2 linked regions of the Nothobranchius furzeri genome follow. The main gene of each other region encodes a partner of the protein of the gene in region 2 in a complex. Links are inferred from orthologs where the notes say so. Each region holds a gene or a part of one and is shown on either strand. Other genes may lie near its edges.

Region 1 (11,788 bases), on a different chromosome or scaffold from region 2:
GTTCAGTAGTTGCAGCTTCGGTGGCTAGCGGGTAGTAACTCGCTTCTGTGTTTAATTTAATAAACATATACACAATTTAAAAAGTAAAAGCTCGTTATATATTAATATTGAAACTGATACGTATAAAATATAACGTTATCTCCTGTGTTACGTGACGTTACGTGGAAGCCGCGGTCACGTGATGCAAGTCTGTTCCATTTAACCGTTTTCTTTGACCAAGGAAGGACAGTGTCGCCTTGACATTGAGAAACACCCAGGGAGTATGAGAGGACTCGTCAGCTCTCTGGGGGCCCCTGGTGCCCCCAAGCAATTGCTTGCCCAGCCAATCCGTGAGTGGCACCTCTGGCTGTTTGATATTGTTTAGTCTTCAATATTCAATGTACATTTTTAAAATGTTGTTGTGGTCGTTTGAGGGCAGCAGGTACGTCTCCACTATTAGAACAGTACATACGTCTCCACTTCAGCAACCTGACCAGAAGGACCATTTTCAGGAACCAATGGAGTACCTGAGCTGGGGCGGGTACTCAAAATAACCCCTCAGAATCACTGAGCGGGGCATTTGGTTAACTCACGCTGATTAGTTGTGACTGACATCAGCAGATCTTGGAATAATTATGTCTGCTTATTTTCTACATTTTATGCACCTTCTGAAAACACAACTTTCTTTAGCTTGAGTTTTAATAATTTGTTTAAAAAAACTTGAAATGTATGTATATATTTGATTCAAAACATAATAGGATATCAGTTTAAATTGATCTGATGTAATAATTCCCAATCATGCTAAATGCAGATGAACACAGGTGCTGGCACCTGATTGCAGCACCGCAAACCTTTTATCATATGGGTGTAATACGAGCTCCAGAAAAACTAACAGAATATTTATTTTAAACGTATAATTAGACACGAAACCTCGCTGCCAGAGGGCCGGCTGAAAGTGACAGTTGCTAATATCACAGCCAATAATTCTCTACACTTGTTACTTTCAAGTGTTTCTGCCAACATTTCTGACTGAGATGCATGCAGCCAGAGTGCCAAGTGCCAGGATGCTCTAAAGCAATCACCACACATGGAGTTGCACCGGTGCATGCCTCTGCTGCAAGCAGGAGGGTAAAACAGTAAAGTCAGTCAGAGGGCAGAGATCTTCCTTCTCACTCACCTTCTAGAAATCACCATGAATATAAACAATATGGAGGCGAGGGAGTCTATGAGTAGCCCAGCAGGTGCCAAGTATCACCTCCAGAGAAACTGATTAAACAGCAAGAGATCTTTGGAGGAGAGAGCAGCTTCTATTGTTTCTCCTCATCATGAAAGAAAAGTGTCTGATGAGAAGAGGACACGTCTCCAACGCCTCAGCCCCACGCTGTGCAGCCTTCTCCCCCAGGCACAAAATGTGGTAGATATGAATATTAAACATTGTTACGACAGCGCCGGAGCAGTGGCTGTATTTATGTGCAGCAACAGCAGCAGAGCCTTCGTAAAGCAGAGGGCGTCGCACAAGTTTAAACTATTAAACCGACGTCTTTATGACGCTGCAGCCGGCGCCGCGGCCACTTCCACACGGGCTGAATTTCTAAACAAATTTCTACTTCACCAGAAAGGACACGACTTTCATATCAAGTAAAAACAAACAGGAAATGAATGGGAGAGTAAATAACTCACTGCTGCTTGCTGCCGCACAGTTGGGACCTTCTGGAGGGACTCCTGGTAGCTCCGTTTAGCTTTAGCTCGCTGCTCTGTGGAAACAACAACAAATGATGTGACTCTGCTTTAAAAATTTAAAGGATAATTGAACCAAATTACCTGATGCTTTCTTTGCTTGTTGTTTTGCTTCCTCTCTGATTTTCTTCTTGGCCTCCAGCTCTTTCTGCTGCTGCTCAACACTCTGAAGTTTCCATCTCTTGCTAATCTGTTAAAATAAGAAAGAACATCCATGAACATCCAAACAGGAAAAAAAACCTAAGCACTAATCAACAGAGGGCTTCGATCACCTCAAATATTTTTGAGGATGGGTCAAACTTGGCGTTCTTGTTGACGTGGACATCAGCTGAAGGCAAATACTGGGATAGCAAGAGGAAGATACACGATTATTCAGTTAGTTAAATAAAAATGTGAATTAGGTTAAATGTTCCACCTCTAACCATTCTGAAAGGGTTTTCAAAAGACTCAATGATGCGTCTCGCTTTCATCTGAGCGACAGACATGGATCTTTGGTCATTAGGAGCTTCTGGTTCCTTCAGGAAGAAAAAAAAAACGCATTGTTATAAAAAACAAATAAACAAAAGCTGAATAAAATGCAGTAAAATAGGTAGAGCTACCTGGAACAGCGTTATTTTAGGTGGTGCCGACAGACGGATTGTTTCCTCATCAACATCCTCTGAGAACAGGACCCCCTTTTTAACAGATGATTCTGAAAAAAAAAAAACAAATAAATAAATAAATCTTTCCTGAAACACTTTTTCCAGGGTATCTGCAGGTTTAAGGGAGCCAAATTTAAGACTTTTTAAGACATTTTTAAGGCCACTTTGACCAAATTTAAGCTGTTTTTGAAATTAAATTTAAGCTATGATTTCCAGCTATTGCCTGGAACGTCGCGAACGTGGGATTAGCCATCCAGTTACCATTAAACTTGCACTTTCCCATGGCGCAGGCTCCCACTAGCTTAACCAGCTAATGTGCTCATCTAAAAATAGTCCCCTTTCACTGAATGTGTACGGTTCCGCTTATGCCAACATCGTACACAAAAAATGCTGAACACTAACTAGAAATTCACGAATTTTTTTTAGAAATAAAAGAATCTTGTTTATTGGGTCTTTGGTAATTTAAGACCTTTGTAAACTGTATTTAAGGATTATTTGTCATTTTTAAGGACTTTTAAGGCCTTAAATTTGGAAAAGCAAATTTAAGACTTTTTACGACTTTTTAAGGACCCGCGGATACCCTGTTTTTCACTGAAACTTAGAAAAAGCACAGTAACTGTCAAGCTCACCGTCAGCTGTAACTTGTGGCACTTCACCCTCAGAAACCTTGGACACATCATGTGGACCAAACAAAGAGACCTCTGGCTGCAACATAAAAAACAAAACATGAATTTTCCCCAAATGGTGGCTGTCTGTAGCTGCTGGTGTCGCCCATTCAGCCTTCAGCTAACCTTCCTAACGGGCGTGAGTCCTTTCTTCTTCTGAGCTGCAATCTCAGCCTGTGTGAAAAGTGACAAACGCATCAAACCATGACAGATTCAGGCACAGTGACAGCGCAGAGCATCGGTGGTTCCTCACCTTCAGCAGGGGCATTTCTCTGGCTTGTTGCACCAATGAATGCAGCTCGTTGACCTGCTGCCTCACCAGCGGTGGCACGGGGATACAGCAGGCGATGATGCCCTGAGGCTCTCTGAGGAGGCCCGACAAATAAAAACACAAAAGTTATTTATAATAAATTACCTTCTGCAGTGATTTTAACGTAAAATCTACTGGACTTACTTGGGTAATTCCTCTGATATTTTGATCATCATGTGGGTGGGCAAAACGTATCTGAACACAAATAAAATCACATTTAAACACCTTGGAGCAGAAGGAGCATTAATATTTGGTTCTTTGCCGACTGTGCACACACACTCCTAATATAAATAAGCCGCTATGATAGAACATCACTTCACAAAGCCTTACCCGGTGCTTTCATCTTCCTGCCTGGCCAGCTTGTCCCTCCAGGCAAACAGGAGTCTGAAGGCAGTGAGCTGCTGAGTGTTAAAGGACTTTTTCTGCTTCCTCTGCAGCTCTAAATAAGACTCCTCGGTGTAGATGGGCTTCAAATATTTCTGTTTAAAAAGGAGAGAGTCGGGTCACACAGGGGAAGGAGACACGTGACATGAGGTAAAAGAGAAAACTGTGGGCAGGTGATAAAAACGAGAACAACTTTGTGCAACAACCAGGACTAGAAAGAGACACCAGGGCGAGTTTTACATGCTACGTTTAGACAGACTGGTGTCGTATCTGTATCATCACAATCCCTGCTGCTGAATTTATGGGACATCCTTCCTGACACTCAAAACATTTATAACACACCAATCTGTGAAATCATGTTTAATATCATTTTAATGTAAACAGCCTGTAGCTGTAAAATACCAAACCCATTTAGAATTTAAAATCCCAGAATGCACTGGAACAAGCTTCCTTCTGCTGCTGCAGTCATAAACTAACAAAAAAAAAAAACAACTATGCTTGCCTTAGCATCTAAGTTATATTAATAAATAAAGCGATGCATATTTTCTTTATGAAGATTTTGACATAAAACATCTAGAAAATCGGGGGAATTCCTTTGCAAAAAAAGCAAAATTTGACCCTCGGCTTGGACAAAGTTCTTAGATTTAAAACACAACAAAATGTCACTCCACCCCTAGAGATAATGTCAATTAGAAAAATAATAAAAGCACACCAGAACAAACAGAAATGATGCAAAACAACATGGACTTTAGACAGAAGTCTCCAGACCGCTTGTGCATGTGAGAGTAAGAGACGTTTGAGCAAACCTTTAATGAAATGTCTCGGCTCTTGTTCCACACACACTGCAACAGTCCCGGCTGCCCGTGGTTGCTGTCTAAAAGCTGCGCTCTCACACAGTCGTAGATGTAAAGGAGGTAGTGGGTGTCTGACCGAGCGTACTGAATCATCTCCTCTGGCAAGGGGCTGCAAGGACAATTAATACAAATTTCTTTTTGAGTTTCAGCTTTCAAAAGATATTATTATAAACATTTTCTTGTTGATTAATGATTAAAAATGTGTCCAGTTAACAACACACCGGATCCTCCAGTCGGCCAGCTGGTAACGTTTGTCCGAGTCCACGTCGCAGAAGTGTTTCAGCAGGTGGTCGAGGGAGTGTCGGGCCAGGTTGAGAGCTCGACTCGCCTGATGTGTGTCAAACAGGTTGACGACGTACAAACCAAAGTCCCTCTGGAGCCACTCGATGTCTGAATCAGCGCCGTGGAACACCTGCAGAACAGAAAACCAACCCACACACGCTTTTATTAAAGCATCTCTGAACTAAAAAAGACAAATTAACTGGACACATATGCAACACTTTAATTTGAATAATTTAACAAATCTTTCAGCTGTTCCAAGCCCACACATCATATTTGTTCAGAGGTGTCCTGCAGAGTGTGAGTCACGCTGGTTCCCACGCACAAGACACCTGCCAACCTTATCAAACATGTTAATGAGACGGAAATCTGGCTTTTATCTTAACTGCTGAGGGAGAACTGCTCCCTAGGATGATGGAGACACGCTCTCCCTTCACAAGTCAGACTCAGCTCATCTCTTCAACATTAAATTAACTCATTTATAGAACAGTTTCATTACTTTGACGATACTCGGGTCGGTAAACGCCTCGTTCAGAATGTACAATTCACTGCGGAGCTCCAAAGTATCAATGATGAAGTCCTCCTCTCTGGTGGAGACCTGCATCAGACAGGTGAGGCCGAGGAAACTCCTGTAGGAATGATGCTGTCACAGAAAAAAAAGAAAATGTTTAACAGAAAAACAGCCTCCAAAGAGTTTAATGACTTCCTAAAGCTACTTTTATTTTAATTAGAACAGAAAGACACGAGACTTTAGTACCTCAAGATCCACAGCAAATTCAGACGACTTGCACAGCTTCTCATTGAGAGTCACTAGATCCTCCAGCGAGTCGACGAAGGTTAGGTTTGTCTCAGCCAACGGTTTGTACATCTAGAAGGAACAGAAACAGATGAGACACACACCGGCACAAGATGATTTTGTTGGGTTACTACAGGTTAATATTACTTGAGGCTCTGGCTTGGACAGCAAGCTTTCTGGTACTATGAGATGGTCCAGTTCATACTGGTACGGGTGTGCAAACCTACATAAAATAAAAAATAAACTCTACTTAGAGAAATGAAAACATGAAACACGGTGTTGACACAACCAGGGACAAGTCTCACATGTCTTCAACATGTTCCTGCGTCCTCTGCTGGTGGATAAAGTCAGCCAGGGCAGCTGGGACGTCAAGGTCCTCCGGCCTCTCTTTACGAATTTGTTTGTTGGTAAAATCTACAGTTTGAGAAAAGAAAATAAATAACTCAGATACGCTGACGAGTTGAAATGGCAAATCAAAACATGTGCCAAAGGTGCTTCTTACAGGAGGGAAGAGCCTTTAATGAATTGGGCTTGATGAAGATCTTTGGAACAAAAGGTGTGTTGCTGTTGTCGACCTTTTCTTTGAATTTCAGCTGAGGCCTTGCAATGTTCTTGGCATGGAGCAGTCGGAATGTCTCAGAACGACTGCCAGAGCTGGAACCCTGTAAAAAAAAAAACACACGCACACACACTCTGCTTATTATGATATAAGAATTTATAGATAAGCAAGAAGGTAGTTCAAAACAGAAAAACTGTGATAACAGGAAGAACTGTTTATTTCACCTACCTTACGATTCCAACTAGAAACAACAATTTTCGGAGGCTGAAACCCAACAGGCATGACAGGCTTCTGGCTCCGATTAACCCCATCAGCTTCATCAAGAAGAATGCCCTAAAAACCAGACAGCAGAACCTGGTTGGTCTGCAAAGGTCTTTGCATTCATTAAGTAATTTAGAGCCAAAGGTGCAGGTCATACCGCTCTTTCAAGGATAACATCATTCGAGTCCACAACCAAGTCAAACCTCTCCTCTATTCCTGTGAGTTTGTCCCGGTCTTTTATGTGAGATCTGCAGCCATGGTTCTGCATTATCTGGCTCATGCTAAAAGACAGTTAAACAGATTAAAACCTTGTTTTACTCCCTCAGAACTCAGAATACTCAGTTCAGGTTTAAACTTGAGCTTGCTTCTGAAAAACTGGTCAGTGACAAAAAGAATAAAATAATTGTTAATTATGTGTTGGTTACATGCTGATTGATCATTGACATGTGCCAATAGAAACTACACTTACCAGTGCAAAAGCTTATCTCCTTGACTTTCACAGAACTCCTGGAATCCCGGGAAGCTCCGATAGAAATCATACTCATCTCCAGACTGAGGTAAGCCAGCTGAAGCTTTGGTGGCCGATAACACTGCACCCAAACCATACTGTAAAGAGACCAGGTTCAGTTGTTACTATTACTAAAGGATAATAACAATGCAATAATATTTAAAATCTCATTGGTTTGATTTAAATGTGATGTTGATTTGCCTAAAAGCTTGGCTGTTGGAAAATGCAGCTTTTCATTCTTTCTGATGGGGCCAAATGTAACTTTGACCAAACAGAAAAAATATATGAAGAACTAATCTAAACAGAAAAAAATCTAAACATTTGTCTTAATTTAATGGTGATTTTTGTGTGCCCCAACTCTAGCAACTTTTAAATCAAAATTAAATATTTCATGCGCTCCTTATTTATTTAAATGCCTCGTTGTATGAAATGCATTACACAAATAAAGCTGCCATGCCTTCATAGTTTATTTTACTAAATTATATTTGACAATAAAAAGGTTATTTAAGCTTAAATACTGCAGACCCCGAATCTAGTGGAATAAAAGCTTGTAGCAACATATTTTGCTCTAATCATCAGCTTATATCTACTGCTGATTTGGATCCCTAAATGAAAAAGCTGTCAAAAGCTAGTTGGCAAAAAGCTTCGTTACACACAACCACACCGTTGCACCTTTAATTTATGAATAGTGTTAAGTCATTGTCTCTGCTTTGCTTGACTTCAACTCCCAATGATGATCCTGCTAACTGGCCAACCAGCTCACCCACGTTGGACTGTTAGCATAAGCTAAAAACTGGCTAGCTAGCTAGTTTTGTTTACTTACTTTAACGAAGGTGTCCGCGTCTTTGAAACCAGGACATAACTCATCTTTCACTTCTTCAGTAGTGTCCAAATTACCTCCCTGACAGCTGCTGTCCGTGGCATCATTACTCTTTGAAGAATTCATCATCTAAATTTGAGTTGTGTACATGAGTGCCTGACGGAAACAGCGCCACCTTTACCTTCAGTGTTAATGGTAGAGCAGTAGGGTCACAGCGCCCCCTTTCGGCATGGAGTGGACAGTGTCAACATTACACAGGAGTGAATACTCATAAAATATTTTAAAATTGATTTAGTTGCTCTCTGATTTGAAACTACACTCAAAAATGTAAACATAATAAACGAAACACATAAATAATGTACAATAGTGTACAAAATACTGTTGAAAAGCTTGAAGTTATTAAATATAGCAACATTTTTACAAGTGTTTGTACATATAAATTAATTTTCTACATGATAAAGAAAAGACAAAAACTGAATCTGAATCAACAAATAGATAAAATAATTGTTGGTTTAAATGATATAAATCTGGAATATTTGCTGTGTATTGTTGTAATGCTGGCTACTCTCACTACAAATCTGAAAGGATGTTGGTCACAAATCCCGCAGGACTGTGCTCTGGTCAGCAGAGCATCCATCCAATGCAGTGAGACTGCAGACGCTGCAAGATTTCTTCTCTTATCGCCCCATTTGATCCAGTTTAGACAGAAAGATGCACCAGGACTCTGGTACCATGAGGGGGCAGTGTTTACATTTGTAAAGTGTGCAAACCACTCCTCAGCATCTGCAGCACATGAAAAAGGAAAATGCACCAGTCATGTCTCCACCAATATTTGTTTAAGAGACGTCTATATTATATTTGAATCGAAAGCTTATTATTTTTGCAGAGTTTGACCAAGGATGAAGGTATCCTAACTGTAAATGTATTCATTCCCCTCAGTGTTTGTTGCCAAAACAAATTAGAAAAACCGGGTGTTGCTGTGATCCAGTGGTCAATACATGAGAAGAGCCAAAGTATTGACACGCCAGCTCATTATAAATGATCTGTGGTGTGTGGGGAGAAACCTCTCTTTTCTTCACTTCCCATTCAAATCGATTTCTTCACGAGGCCCTCTCCTTCTTATTATCTTAAAAGCATCTCCGCAACACTGACTGGATCAATATTTCACAGCATCTTTCCATGTCATTCTGTTGTTTCAGCGGAGAGTAACCAAACTTCGGCACACACGTGCACTAATAATTCAAAGAAATGAATCAGCATCTGTTGGAAAGTCGCTGCACAAAACCAGCAACTTGATGTGTTCGTTTCTAAAGATATTGAGTGTTATATTACTTTGAAACCATTGAGTTATCACTGATAACAGTCTTTATAATGACGTATTAATCCAGATTTAATAAACTTTGTCATATTATTAATCTATGTTATTGTTGCATTTCACCCCAATTTATGTGCTTTAAAAATATGATGCATTTTCTAGCTTTGATAGCGCTCCAAGGCTCTACTCCAGTGGGGTGTCCAGATCTTTTAAAATGGGGTGGCCCAGGTGAGGCACAATTTTGCGCATGGGTAGCACCAATGGTTATGCTTTTTTTGTTTTACCCCCAAGCCTTTTGTGGACAATGAAAAGCCTATTTAAAGGTAAATTAGTGTGGTGGCACCTGGGGTGGCCAATCAGATTCCAAGGGTGGCATGTGCTACCCCAGGCCACTCCCTGGACACGCCCCTGCTCTACTCAAGTCTCTCCCCGTGCAGTACAGACACTAAAACTGCTGATGCTGAAGGTGACAGCAAAATAAATAAATAAATAAATCCAGGAGAAAATTCTCAGTGAACTGTTTTTATTAACTCCTTCATTTAAAAAACACCAAAATGCACCAAACAATGTCATACATGCACATCTTCAGCATTTCAAGATCAGCTGATGACTTTTCAATGTGAAAACATTAATGACACGATCTCATAGAGATCACCTGGACACTGAAATACTGAGGAGTCACAATAGAAAGGTCAAGCGTTGTCACCCAAAACACAAACTAGTACATTTTTCTTTCAATTTAATTTAATTACAAATTTAGCACGAAATGCTGCCATCTCTGAAAATGGTAAAGCTGTATAAAAAGACAAAGGTAGAGAGAGCTATTGTGCATCGGTTATTTCACCAAACCGGTGTGTGTGTGTGTGTGTGTGTGTGTGTGTGTGTGTGTGTGTGTGTGTGTGTGTGTGTGGTAGCAGCTGTTAGCAAAAGAGTCTGTAGTCATTTATTTTTCAAAGTTTGACTATTACAATTGGAAATAGGGGTTTAGCGTAATACATACAGTATGTATTATATACTGTATGAAGGCAAGAGAGATTTCAAGACTGGCTTTAGCAGTAGCAAAAAGTGGCTTTAATCACTACTTTTAAACAACACTTGACCTTTGTGCAGAATATTTTTCAGTAAAAAAACAAAAAAAAAAAAAAAACAAATAACAGGTAAGATCCATATCAAACATTAAAAAATGTTAAATCAAATGATCTCCACAGTACTGGTACATTACAAAACAGAGAGGCTGACAATGTTTCAATGCAACCAAAGATACAAATGCAACCTTTTTTCAGTTCGTTTGATTCTAAACAACAGCTGCAAAAGATGGAGTTTTCTGTTTAAGAAAGACAAAACATACGTAAACTGTCCACATATAAAAGAAAAAAAGTAACACTTTATAATAATGATCCCTTTATTAACGTTACTTAGTGCATTATTAAGCATTAATAAACAAAGGATCCCTTTATTAAAATTTCAGATACTGTTAACTATTAAATGTCTTTAAGGTTAGTACAAAGGGCCGGGTGGGGAGGTGTCTACTTACTAAAGCATTACTTAATATTAACATTAAGTAGTTGCTAATACTTTATTTAGTAGTTTATTAAAGTTTAAAGTGACAATGTGTATTTTTATGATTCATCTCTGGAAACATCCATCGAAATCCTGTTGAAAATGAACAAAATGATGCCCAGTCGTTGAAAACTATTGGTGGCTTTGTAAAATTTAACCATAAAAATCAGGTCTGATGTACATGGGGCGCGGGTCTAGCATCTTTGGGGGACAACACATTAGACGTCATGTTTCCTTCTGGCCAGCTCAGGATCCTGCGCCTGTTGATGACATCACACTAGATGATTGGCTGGACCCTGCAAACAGTTAACGTCGCATGGACGTGCAGATCATGTCTATACTGAGTCTGTCGGTCCAGACCCCGTCTGTAGGACGTCCAAACTAGGTCTTTGCACAGTGGGGATGTATGATTTACTGTCATTTCTTCACCACGTTCGAAAACGAATCATGTAATTTATTAACAAAACTGCTAAACTCTTTCCAAAATTTATGTGAAAGAACAGAATCAAAAGAGAGTTGCAATAGATCTTGGCCGAGTGATATTGCCGTAGTAAGATGATGTCATCGGCAGGCGCAGGACTCCGAGCAGATCTGGAAACTACAACCCCAGAAAACTAGCATCAGCATTGCATCCGTTCGAGGGAATTAACTGAAGGACCACCAAAGTGAGAGGAGTCATGCCGAGGTTGCATGCTTTCTGCTCCACAGGTAACAACATTTACCGTAATGTTTTTATAAACTAGCAACAGTCACAGCGATATGTAAAACTACCCTGAAATGTATGTACTGCCCCCTAATGGCAGGGAACTACACACTGCTACTTTAATAATTCACCAAGTAACGTTAATAAAGGGACCCATCAAAAAAATAAATGGCAGGTTTCAGGTTAAAACGCTCATCAGATGTAGAGAAAACTTTTGCTTTTCATCTTTACACTTTAGACAAGTTATTTTCCAGCAAGACGAACCTGATGCAGCCTTGAATTCAGCAGATTTTCCCCTCAGTTTTCCCTTCTGCTCTGGCAGCCTAAGATTATTTAACAGAAAAATAGACACTCTGAGTCCTGACTAGGTCAAAGTCATTTTTCCTACCTCCGACGCTGACCTTGCATTATTCTACT
Region 2 (11,243 bases):
TCTGTGTTGCCCTGCGATGGACTGGCTCTCTGTCCAGGGTGTACCTTGCCTAATTGCCCGTTGACTGCTGGAGATGGGCACCAGCCCCCCCGCGACCCTACATGGACAAAGCGGGTTCAGAAGATGGATGGATGGATGGATTGGAGCTGTTGGTAGACTCACATTCTTGTCCAACCGAACGTTAGAGGACCGATATAATTTAATATTTGTATTTTCTCTGATGGATTTATTATCACAGGTAGATCAGTGTAACAGAACATCTGATTTCTGTATAAAACAGTGAATATGTTGTGTGTAGCCATGGTAACGACCTGATGACCCCTCAACAGATGGCAAGGTGTTGCCCGGAGACTTGACCCACTATGTGGTGCCGGGGGTGGAGGTGGTGGTCAACTTCCTGGAGATCCTGGAATTCAGGGAGCTGCAGGGAGTCATCTTCACCCAGACGGCCTGCCAGGCTCTGCAGAGTAAAGGGCGCAGGTACAACACACACAAACACACACACACATAGAGGGTGAAGTGGGTTGTCTGAAGAACTCCAGTCTACCGTCTTTTTTTATTCCAAAGTGATGGAGAACATCTCATAAGTTTTCCTGACAAACCATTAGCAGCTGGTTCTGGTGTGTGTGTGTGTGTGTGTGTGAGAGAGAGAGAGAGAGAGAGAGAGAGAGAGAGAGAGAGAGAGAGAGAGAGAGAGAGAGAGAGAGAGAGAGAGAGAGAGAGAGAGAGAGAGAGAGAGAGAGAGAGAGAGAGAGAGAGAGAGAGAGAGAGAGAGAGAGAGAGAGAGAGAGAGAGAGAGAGAGAGAGAGAGAGAGAGAGAGAGAGAGAGAGAGAGAGAGAGAGAGAGAGAGAGAGAGAGAGAGAGAGAGAGAGAGAGAGAGAGAGAGAGAGAGAGAGAGAGAGAGAGAGAGAGAGAGAGAGAGAGAGAGAGAGAGAGATCGGCTGGCGGGATGATGTAGAGTGATATCTGCTGTAGGAAAATGCAATCAGCAAGGGCACAAAAACAAAACACGCTCAAAGATAGCGACAGAGCTCGAGACTAGGTCATATACCCAAACGAGTTAATCATCCGACGTCGTGTAGGTCTCAGACTGCCCCTCATATAGCCAGCCGGTGATTGCAGCTGAGTGGCTGCAGCTGGGCAGTTCTCCGGCACCGCCCACCTGCAGGAGAAGGGTTAGTGTGGGGAACAATATACCTCAGGCCATGACAGCTTGACCTTCTCTGGAACCGAAGCCTTTAGGAAAAGCAGCGGTTGCCGTCCGACCAGACCAGTCTTGGGATACTTCCGGGTCACGACAGTTTTATTGGCATCTAGCGAGACCAAAAAGGGGGTCGTGATGGTTCAGCTTTTATTCTGAAAGGAACCGTTGCAGCAGTTGGAACAGCAACAGATTTTATCCAGCTTGTCGTTAGGTTCTTTCGGCTGAAGAGGAAAGTTACGGATTGAGAGAGAGAGAGAGAGAGAGAGAGAGAGAGAGAGAGAGAGAGGGAAGGGAGAGGGAGAGGGAGAGGGAGAGAGAGAGAGAGAGAGAGAGAGAGAGAGAGAGAGAGAGAGAGAGAGAGAGAGAGAGAGAGAGAGACCGGGACCGGGTTGACCTCATTATGTCAGAGTTCTGCTGATGCAGGTGTGACTTTAACCTTCTGCTCCGGTTTCTGACTGACTTGAACAAACCTGTAAATAAGGATTCCCAGCTGACCTTGTCTCCGAGTCCAATTTGTTTTGGGTTTCCGCCGACTCGGCAGTGTCGCATCATTAGAGTGAGGCTTCGTTTCTGATGGTGTCAGGATTCTGTTAGGGCACTAACACGCAGAACCAGAACTGACATGGGTACGCTGGGTTCTGGTCCGATGCCAGGGGATTCAAATGCTTTGAATAAACTTTATTAGGGTTTATTTCTTTAGATGACGTGGGAGCTGTTGTAGTCTTTCCACCTGAGCGTCTTTTTCTGCCTCCTGCTGGTGAGCTCTGTGTTCTGATGCTCCTGTGTCGTTCAGGTGCTACAGCCGTCTGAGGAACCTGGTGAAAGACCCTCGACACGACTGTGTTCTGTTTGCTAACGAGTTCCAGGAGCACTCGTACCGCCCGAGAGAGAAGGGCGAGAGCCACGAGCAGTGGCAGACCAGGTGAGTGGTCCCAGGGTGTCAGGACACCAGAAGCTTTCATCAGATTTCCCACCTGAGGTGGGGTCAGAGGTTAGTATAGGTTTATTTATAAATTCAACAAGTTATTACATTTCAAATAAATGTTGGGAAATTAGAACTGAAATTAGAACTTTCCTACTTAATCGGGATTATTTGTAATAAAAAAAACAGAATAAGTTTAGTTTTCAGAAGGATTCAGAACGAGGCGACCAGGGGCCTCATTTCTAAAGCTGCTTACGCACAAAACGGGTCTGAAAAGTGCGTAAGTGACTTGCAACGCCAACTTTGTGATTTATAAAGAAACACCGGACAGAAAAACGTGGCAACTTTAAGCAAAACTTGCAGACTTGGAAGAGGGCGAGATGGTAAAATGTTTAAGGACACATTTTCACACCGTTGGCACAGTTTCATAAGTCGGAAAATCAGTTTGCGTAACTTTTTCATTTTTAGCTGAGCTTAAGTGGGGTTTTAGTAAGGATTCTATGCAGTTTTACAAACGAGGCCCTTGGTCTTCAGGAACCAGAATCAGCAGGGGTCCGTGTTTTTAACTGTTTAAACCAAAGTTTCAGAAGTGTTTTTAAATGTAAAGTTTGGATAAACGGTGTAAAAACCATCTGATGTATTATTTGTGGGTAGGTGTGTGTACGAAGCTGCAGTGTGGTACTACAACCACCTGGCAGGAATGATGAGCATCGTGATGGTTACAGAGGACGAAGATGTTGTGAGTCGGTTCAGCAACCTGAACTCTGGAGTTTTTGTCGTCACCTTCAAGGTAAACATGTCAGTCAGCAGCCAATCAGATCAGCCAGGGTTAGCCTAGCCCCAACCCAGGCTGATGGGCTAGGGCTAGGCTAACCCTGAAAGTCAAGGGCAGGGGGTGCTTGATCCTGGTCCTGGAGGCCCGGCATCCAGCATGTTTTAGTTTTAACCCTCCTCCAACACACCTGGTTTCAGTCAGCAGCTGATTAACAGACTTCTGCAGAGCTTGATGAGTTTCTGCACAGGTGATTCCACCACTGAATCAAGTGTGTTGGAGCAGAGAAACAACTAAAACATGCTGGATGCCGGCCTTCCGGCCCACTGCTCTGAGGCTAGGCTCACACTGTGCTGATGCAGTATTTTAGACAAAAGGAGGTCCAACTGGCAGGGTATCTGCAGGTCCTTAAAAAGTCTTAAATTTGCTTTTCTAAATTTAAGGCCTTAAAAATCCTTAAAAATGACTAATAATCCTTAAATACAGTTTCCAAAGGTCTTAAATTACCAAATACCCAATAAACAAGAATTTCTAGTTAGTCTTCAGCATTTTTTGTGTATGATGTTGGCGTAAGCGGAACCGTACACATTCAGTTGGTTGTGAAAGAGGGCTATTTTTAGATGAGCATATTAGCTGGTTAAGCTAGTGGGAGCTTGGTAATCCCACGTTTCCGACGTGGCTAGCACCGGTTCCAGGCAATAGCTGGAAATTATAGCTTAAATTTAATTTAAAAAATAGCTTAAATTTGGTCAAAGTGGCCTTAAAAAAGGTCTTAAAAAGTCTTAAATTTGGCTCCCTTAAGCCTGCAGATACCCTGAACTGGGTAGTGATGCACAAAAGCAGCCCCACACATCCAAACGTGTGCATTTCCTCCCAAGGAACCAAAAACGAGGAGAGGGTGCTCGCTGCAGAACTACAAAGGCGGAGCTGCACCAGAGTCAGCCCCGCCCACTCTCGCAAACTCAGCCTAGCCCACTGACTTCTTCTGTTTTTGTTTTTTAACTTTATCGCAAACTAACCTGACCCACATGAACTACGGCTGTTACTGGTTTACAAATGTTAATGCTACGTTCTATGCTCCAATTAAACAAGATAAATATAACTTGCTACATGACAAAGCCTGAATATATCCTGAAATGAAAGTTTCTTTTAGCAAATATCTGCCCACAGCCGCTCCAACAAAAGCGGCCTACAACAGCATTTCAGGCTATCGTGTGGGTTCTGGTAGTCCAGTGGCGAGATCGTAAAGTTTTGCCGTTGATGCTGGTTCGACTCTCGGTGGGGTCGGCAGCAATCTATTTATCCAGCTGAAACATTTAATTTGTTTATATTTTAGTTGTAATGTTTATTTTCTGCAAAATATTTATGTCTCTAAAAGTTCTTTGAATTTGGTCGTTCCTAAACAGCATTTTAGTTGAAACTCTGCTCACAAATGGACTCACACTGGCTAATTAAACATTAGTCATTATATTTTAGACGGTATACCAATAAATAGTTGTAAACATAGTAGTGGCAAGTGTAGCTAGAAAAGAAGAAAAAGGGTTTTAAACTACCTAATATTTCTGCTACTGGGAGGCGAACCTGCGCAAAACAGCACGTCTATCTTTGAACATCTTAGGTGTGTTCTTGCTGTGTCGTGGTAATTCCATGCTGTCGTTCTTTTTAAAACACAGAAACAGATTTGTTTACCTGTTTTGTTGCTACGTTTCGCCGCCGGCGAAACGTAGCGACAAAACAGGTAAACAAATCTGTTTCTGTGTTTTAAAAAGAACGACAGCATGGAGCATGTCTATCTGACTCCATAACCACTTCACCACTACATCTGATAAAAAGCAAGTGGCATCACACTAATTGTGCCATCCAGTGTGTCTTTGTAGATGGGATGTATGGTTTTTTCGGCGGTGTCTCAGTAGAAGTCATTTCAGAAATAATTTGTCGGAAAATTGAGAACCAAGACCAGACCCGCTTCGGGGGAGGAGACCAAACTGAAGCTGAGATGGGAGGAAAAATGTGTGAATGAGGCCAAAAATGGCTTTGGCGTGTTTCTTTTGAGGAAATGACAATATAACATGGTAAAAAGTTCCAAAAGTTAGATTTTTAATTATATGAAACCTTTACAAAAACTGTTCAATTAACCTCTCAACTCCGTCCTCAATCTTGCATTTTAGATGATGTTAGCTATAACACCCTCTTTGGTTCCAGAATGCTATCAAGTCTGACAACTGGAAGGAATTGGACTGACTCTGATGGAATGGGCGGGGCTGACTCTGGTGCAGCTCCGCCTTTGTGGTTCTGCAGCGAGCACCACTTGAAAACATGCATGATGGCTTCATTCACAGCTTTGGTTTCTAGAATAAAGTGTGACTTGGTCTCCTATTTAATCAAACATAAGCATTGTTCTTTTGGCAGGAATATAACTTACTGACATTTATGAGATGGATTAGAGCTGCATTTAAAACGCCAACATGTGTTGTGACCAGCTCAGACTAGCCGTTAGCCCATCAGTCTGGTCAGAATTAAAGAAATTGCTAAAGCAGAAAGTTAGAAGGTTAGGATCAGCTCTTCTGGTCTAGATGTTCCCCTGAGACCTGACTTCATCCCTTCCAGGATTATCTGCAGAACTTCTGGCCCGATCTGCAGGCGGCCCACGAGCTCTACGGCTCCATTTCTCAGGCGCTGCAGGAGAAGGAGAGCGAGGACACTCAGAAGGAGTTTTGTGAACATCTACCTACTGAAGTTCTGGCGGCTGGCATCAAATCTGGGCGTTACATTCAGGTAGAACCTCACCTGATCGGGTCGACGTCTAAACTCAGGGTCACACGGGTTGGCTAACTGGTTAATATTCTGTTGAACCAGGGGATTCTGAACGTCAGCAAACATCGAGCTCAGAACGAAGCGTTTGTTGCGAATGATGATATTTCCAACAAGAACTCAGGTACAGAACCTTCCTGAACCTCTCTGCAGAACGACTCAGAACTTGTTCAGAATCCCCCCGGTTCTTCTTCCCAGATCTGATTGGGGGGGTTCTGGTGTACGGCGTGAGGAACCGCAACAGAGCCGTGCACGGGGATTCTGTGGTTCTGGAGCTTCTGCCGAGGAGCGAGTGGAGGGGAAAGGTCACGGCTCTGACGGAGGGACCGGTGGACGAGAGGACAGGAGGGGACAGTGAGAGTAAACCAATGCCCACAGGTGAGGCCGGACCTGAGAGTCCAGCAGGCCCTGGGTGCTTCTGATTGACTGACCAGGTGTGGTTCTGGGTTCAGGTCGGGTTGTGGGGGTCCTGCAGAGGAACTGGAGGGACTACGTGGTGACCTTCCCCCCAAGGGAGGGGACTCAGAGCAGGAACTCCCAGCGCATCCTGGTGATTCCTTGGGACCGACGCATCCCTAAGATCCGGATCAGCACCCAGCAGGCCGATGTTCTGCAGGTCTGGGTCCAGTTTCTCTGTTGGGTGTTTTGGTTCTGATAGGTCCACTTTCTGTAGGAACAAGTTTCATTTTTTATTTCACAGGAAAAAGTTTTATTTTCATTATCGACTCTTTATGCTGACAGGATTGTTAGTGCTGAAGAGGGATTACTGTGTCCCGGTTCTGGAGAATTGGGTCTAGCTTGTCCATGAAGCTCCATTCTGTTTTGTCCTGCAGGACCACAGAGTGGTGGTGCGCATCGATTCATGGGAAAGCACCTCCCTCTATCCCAGCGGTCACAGCGTTCGGGTTCTGGGTCGGGCCGGAGAGCTGGAGACCGAGGTCCAGACCATCCTGATAGAGAACTGCATCCATGTTCCTCCCTTCTCAGAAGCTCAGGTCAGAACCGGTTCTACTGTGATCTGCTGACTCCCACCAGGGGCGGGGTCCAGCGTCCCCGTCAGAGGTGGTTCAGGAGTCAGGAACCGGGTGCGAGGCAGCGATAACTCGGGTCATCGTTAGCTGGTGATCCGAGCAACAGCTGCTTTTTGGTTTCCATGGAAACGTTTTGTATTTACCCAGCATCCATAATGTTTGACAGCTGACTGAGCCGGTAGAAGTTCTGATCAGAAATCGCCATCACAGCCTTCCTGTGACCTTCTCTCCATCAGCTGAGGGAAATGCCATCGACCTCGGCAACAAAGCCATGGACGGTGGATCCGGTTCAGGTGTCAAAGAGGCGGGACCTCCGGGAGACTCACCTGGTGTTCAGCATCGACCCGCGTGGCTGCGAGGACGTGGACGACACTCTGTCGGTGCGCCGTCTCCCTGGCGGGTCGCTGCTGGAGCTGGGGGTCCACATCGCTGACGTCACTCACTTTGTTTCTGAGGGATCGCTCACCGACCTGGAGGCTCGCTCCAGGTGAGCAGAACCAAAACTTTAGACTCGGTTTTCACTCCAGACCTGGGTTTGGACCCCTGATCTGAAGGCTCTGTGGAATTTCAGGGCCACTACCTACTACCTGGCAGACCGCCGCTACGACATGCTGCCGGCTGTTCTCAGCGCTGACCTCTGCTCCCTGCTGGGAGGTGTCGACAGGTGAGTGGATCCATCATCTCCTCACAGAAGCTCCGCCGGTCCAACGGGTTCGCTCTCGTGTTCAGGTACGCCATGAGTGTCCTGTGGGAGCTCGACGTTCAGACGATGGCCGTCGCCAAGGTGTGGTTCGGTCGCACGCTGATCCGATCCTCGTACCAGCTGCACTACGAGCTGGCCCAGGCGCTGCTGAACGGGGAGGAGGCAGAGGTACCGGAACTGGCCCAGCTCGCCTCGGAGGAGCGGGACGGGAAGCTGGCCGAGCTGGTGGAAGCGCTGGAGACACTGACGCATGTGGCGAGACACCTCCGTGCGCAGAGAGACTGTGGAGGTGCGCTGGAGCTGGAGGGGGTGGAGGTACGTGGTTCTACTGGGTCGGTTCTGAACTCGGGGTTCTATATTGAAACCTGGACCCGGTCCTCCTCAGGTCCGAGCCCAGCTGGATGAGAAGCGGAACATCACGGCGCTGGTCCCCCGTCAGCCGCTGGAGGTCCATGAGACGGTGGCAGAATGCATGATCTACGCCAACCACTGGGTGGCGCGCAAGATACAGGAAGTGTTTCCGTACCAGGCTCTGCTGCGGCGCCACCCGCCGCCACGCCAGGAGCTGTTTGGTCAGCTGGTGGACACGGCCCAGGCCCGGGGCTTCAGCATCGACACCAGGTGACACACAGAACCAACAGGTCCATCAGAACCGACCAAAACCAGCTGATTTATAAACTCATTGGGTCAAAAGATCTCGAGGGTTCTTGGTTTCCTGGTGAGTCTCGGGAACATCTGGAACCCATTTGGGTTCAGATCAGAACCACCAGATGACTTTGGCACCAGATTCAGCAGGTCTTGTTGCTCAGACCCGATCAGAACAATCCGTGGTTCTGTAGTGACCCGTGTGACATCACACGTTGGCATGGGATGTTCCTGCTTCTTTTAGAACAGAACTTGTCCTGGATCTGGTTTAGGAAGGGACCATGTTCTAGCCTCTTCCGTTCTGGGCCGCTTTGTTGAAACCAGAACCTTTGTGACTAAATGAGAAAATCCCGTCTGCATTGGATCACCATGACAACGGCACCAGGTGATCTGGTTAGGAACGTGTCACCTGTTGCCGTTTATCCCTACCTGACCTGGTTCTGTGACCGGACCGGATTCTGGTTCAGGATCTAAACGTGCCCCTCTGATCCCTGCAGCACCAACAAGGCTTTAGCTGACTCTCTGAACCGGGCCGTGGACCCCCGGGACCCGCTGGTAAACAGGCTGCTCAGGATGATGGCGACCCAGGCGATGTCCCAGGCCGTGTACTTCTCCACCGGTTCTGAACCCGAGGACCAGTTCTTCCACTACGGTGAGCCCGGCGTTCCCGCTGAACAAAGCCGTTGGTCTCAGTGACCCGACTGTTCTACTCTGATGTTCTGCAGGTCTGGCTCTGGACCGGTACACCCACTTCACTTCCCCGATCCGACGGTACGCCGACATGGTGGTTCACCGCCTGCTGACCGCCGCCCTGGCCACGGAGCAGGGGGCGGAGCCTGTCGAAGCGCCCGCTGGAAATAAAGAAATGGAAGAGCTAGCGGAGCACATCAACAACAAGAACCGGGTGAGAAGAGCGGGTCGGTTCTGAAGCTCCGTGGTGTTTCAGTCTGATGAGGTTCTGAGCCGTTTCCATTCTGCAGGCGGCCCAGCGGGCCCAGAACCTCTCCATCGGGCTGTTTCAGTGCCTTTTCTTCAAAGAGCGAGACCCTGAGACGGACCCGCGGTGCGTGGCTGGCGCCGTCATCTACTCCATCCGAGACAACGGCGTGCTGGTGTTTGTCCCAGAGTAAGGAACCGACCCGGTTTGTCAGCAGCATTGAGGTTCTTTAAACAGAAGTTTGGACATTACCCGAGATGGGCTCCAGTTTACAGAACCGGGCCTGGACTCCGGACTCTAAATGAGTTTGGTTGGACCCGGTTGGCTATTGGAGGATTTTTTGTTAACAGGACGGCGTGAACTTCATGGGATCGGGTCGTTCGCGGTTCTGCAGGTTTGTCGGATCCGATTCTGATGAAAACAGAAACTTCTTCCTTGTGATTCTGGGTCGGCACCAACTGAATTCTGGGATATTTGTTTAGATATTAGAAGTCTGGGAGCGTAAATAAGTGGTTCTGGTTCTGACCCGGGTCGCTGCTGTTTACAGGTACGGTGTGAAAGGTCCAGTCTACTTGAAGAACAAGGAGGGTCAGGTGGTGTCAGTGGGACCTGACGGAACCTGTGAGTGGCAGAGTGGTTCTGTCCAGCGACACTCGGACCACATCAGAACCACCTCTGCCTGTGGCAGCGCCACCTTCAGGCTGTTTGACCACATCACCGTGAGTAAACGTCTCAGAACCGGGCCTGCTGAGAAACCCACTGAGCTCCCGTTTGTCCCCTCAGGTCCGCGTCTCCGTCCTGTCCTCCAGCTGTCACTCGGACACTCTGAACATGGAGGTCATCAGCAACAAGCCGCACCGCAGCAGCTCGACGCCGCAGCAGGTCTCCTCACAGGGCCGGAACCAGCTGGTCCAGGAGGTGGTCCGACTTGCTGAGGAGGCACAGAAGGAGACCCGGAAACCCAAACTGTCCCGAGAGGAGAGGGAGTTCCGGCAGAGTAAAACTCCTAATCTGTACTCCCTTCTGGAGGAGATCCGAGAACTGTCCCTGTTGGACCCGGAGACGGAGCCACGCCCCCCCGAGGGGACACAGGTGGACACCTGAACGTCCTGCAGAACGTTTGGTTCTGTCAAGTTTTATTTTTAAAATCTGAGAACGAGGCTTTAAAAATAAAAACCGAAGTTTCAGGAAAACTCAAACTTTATTCTGACTTTTATAATAAAATGTGATTCGTATAAACGTCTCTGACCTTTGACCTGCAGCCACAGTCTTTGTGTCCCAAAACCTGGACTCTTTCTTCACCTTCAGGTCACAAATGTCAAAACATCCAGAACCAAGCACAACCAAGTGGACCAGAACTGCAGGTTGTTCAGGTTTTAGAACCACGCTGGCATTAAACTTCTTCCTCCGGCCCCTCTGGGACCGGTTCCTCCTTACCAAGAGTGGACTCAGTAGGAGGTTCTGGGTCAGCGTGTGGAGGAGCAGGAGGTTCTGAGTCGGCATGTGAAGGAGCAGGAGGTTCTAGGTCCATGTGTGAAGGAGCAGGAGGTTCTGGGTCAGCGTCTAGAGGAGCAGGAGGTTCTGGGTCAGCGTCTAGAGGAGCAGGAGGTTCTGAGTCGGCATGTGGAGGAGCAGGAGGTTCTACAGGAGGTTCTAGGTCCACGTGTGAAGGAGCAGGAGGTTCTGGGTCGGCGTGCTGAGAAACGGGAGGTTCTGGGTCAGCGTCTAGAGGAGCAGGAGGTTCTGGGTCCTTGTGCGGAAGAGCAGGAGGTTCTAGGTCCACGTGTGAAGGAGCAGGAGGTTCTGGGTCCTTGTGTGGAAGAGCAGGAGGTTCTGGGTCTGTGTGTAGAAGAGCAGGAGGTTCTGGGTCGGCGTGTGGAGAAACGGGAGGTTCTGGGTCAGCGTCTAGAGGAGCAGGAGGTTCTGGGTCTGTGTGTAGAAGAGCAGGAGGTTGTGTGCTGCAGGACCGATCCAGGTCCAGATCTTGCATCTTCTCCTGGTCAGCAGAACCATTGAGGATGTTGGAGGAAGCTGGCGAAGGCCCGGTGTCAGAAGGTTCTACACAAGAAGAGAAGACAATTAGCGATCCATTTGTTCTGGTTTTGTTTTATATGTTTTCTGAAGATGAACCAAGTAGAACCGATCCCTCGGGTCGGTGAAGCAGATCAGAACTTTTTCAGTTTTTAATGAATTTGTGAACAAAATTATCAGCTGGTT

The links.
Region 1: dis3l (region 2) and exosc10 share a complex: the UniProt entries of both Homo sapiens proteins name them as parts of the RNA exosome complex. The link is inferred for Nothobranchius furzeri from reciprocal best matches to the Homo sapiens genes DIS3L and EXOSC10.

The regions. Positions count from the first base shown.
Region 1 is NC_091755.1:29,804,058-29,815,845, forward strand, and holds the start of exosc10 (exosome complex component 10), read right to left. Parts: upstream 8,003-11,788; 5' UTR 7,923-8,002; coding exon 7,797-7,922; intron 7,072-7,796; coding exon 6,935-7,071; intron 6,747-6,934; coding exon 6,623-6,746; intron 6,538-6,622; coding exon 6,433-6,537; intron 6,308-6,432; coding exon 6,148-6,307; intron 6,060-6,147; coding exon 5,951-6,059; intron 5,869-5,950; coding exon 5,793-5,868; intron 5,718-5,792; coding exon 5,607-5,717; intron 5,493-5,606; coding exon 5,349-5,492; intron 4,983-5,348; coding exon 4,792-4,982; intron 4,680-4,791; coding exon 4,523-4,679; intron 3,812-4,522; coding exon 3,663-3,811; intron 3,528-3,662; coding exon 3,477-3,527; intron 3,388-3,476; coding exon 3,276-3,387; intron 3,197-3,275; coding exon 3,149-3,196; intron 3,063-3,148; coding exon 2,987-3,062; intron 2,408-2,986; coding exon 2,316-2,407; intron 2,232-2,315; coding exon 2,139-2,231; intron 2,058-2,138; coding exon 1,989-2,057; intron 1,907-1,988; and 4 more. UniProt on the Homo sapiens protein: Catalytic component of the RNA exosome complex which has 3'->5' exoribonuclease activity and participates in a multitude of cellular RNA processing and degradation events.
Region 2 is NC_091749.1:66,608,735-66,619,977, reverse strand, and holds the end of dis3l (DIS3-like exonuclease 1), read left to right. Parts: intron 1-329; coding exon 330-480; intron 481-1,998; coding exon 1,999-2,127; intron 2,128-2,781; coding exon 2,782-2,917; intron 2,918-5,506; coding exon 5,507-5,674; intron 5,675-5,755; coding exon 5,756-5,834; intron 5,835-5,908; coding exon 5,909-6,088; intron 6,089-6,162; coding exon 6,163-6,326; intron 6,327-6,543; coding exon 6,544-6,705; intron 6,706-6,977; coding exon 6,978-7,228; intron 7,229-7,312; coding exon 7,313-7,405; intron 7,406-7,470; coding exon 7,471-7,759; intron 7,760-7,829; coding exon 7,830-8,065; intron 8,066-8,586; coding exon 8,587-8,741; intron 8,742-8,814; coding exon 8,815-8,993; intron 8,994-9,069; coding exon 9,070-9,215; intron 9,216-9,573; coding exon 9,574-9,745; intron 9,746-9,809; coding exon 9,810-10,130; 3' UTR 10,131-10,225; downstream 10,226-11,243. Other genes in the region: tipin (TIMELESS-interacting protein), read right to left, coding at 10,420-11,084. UniProt on the Homo sapiens protein: Catalytic component of the RNA exosome complex which has 3'->5' exoribonuclease activity and participates in a multitude of cellular RNA processing and degradation events.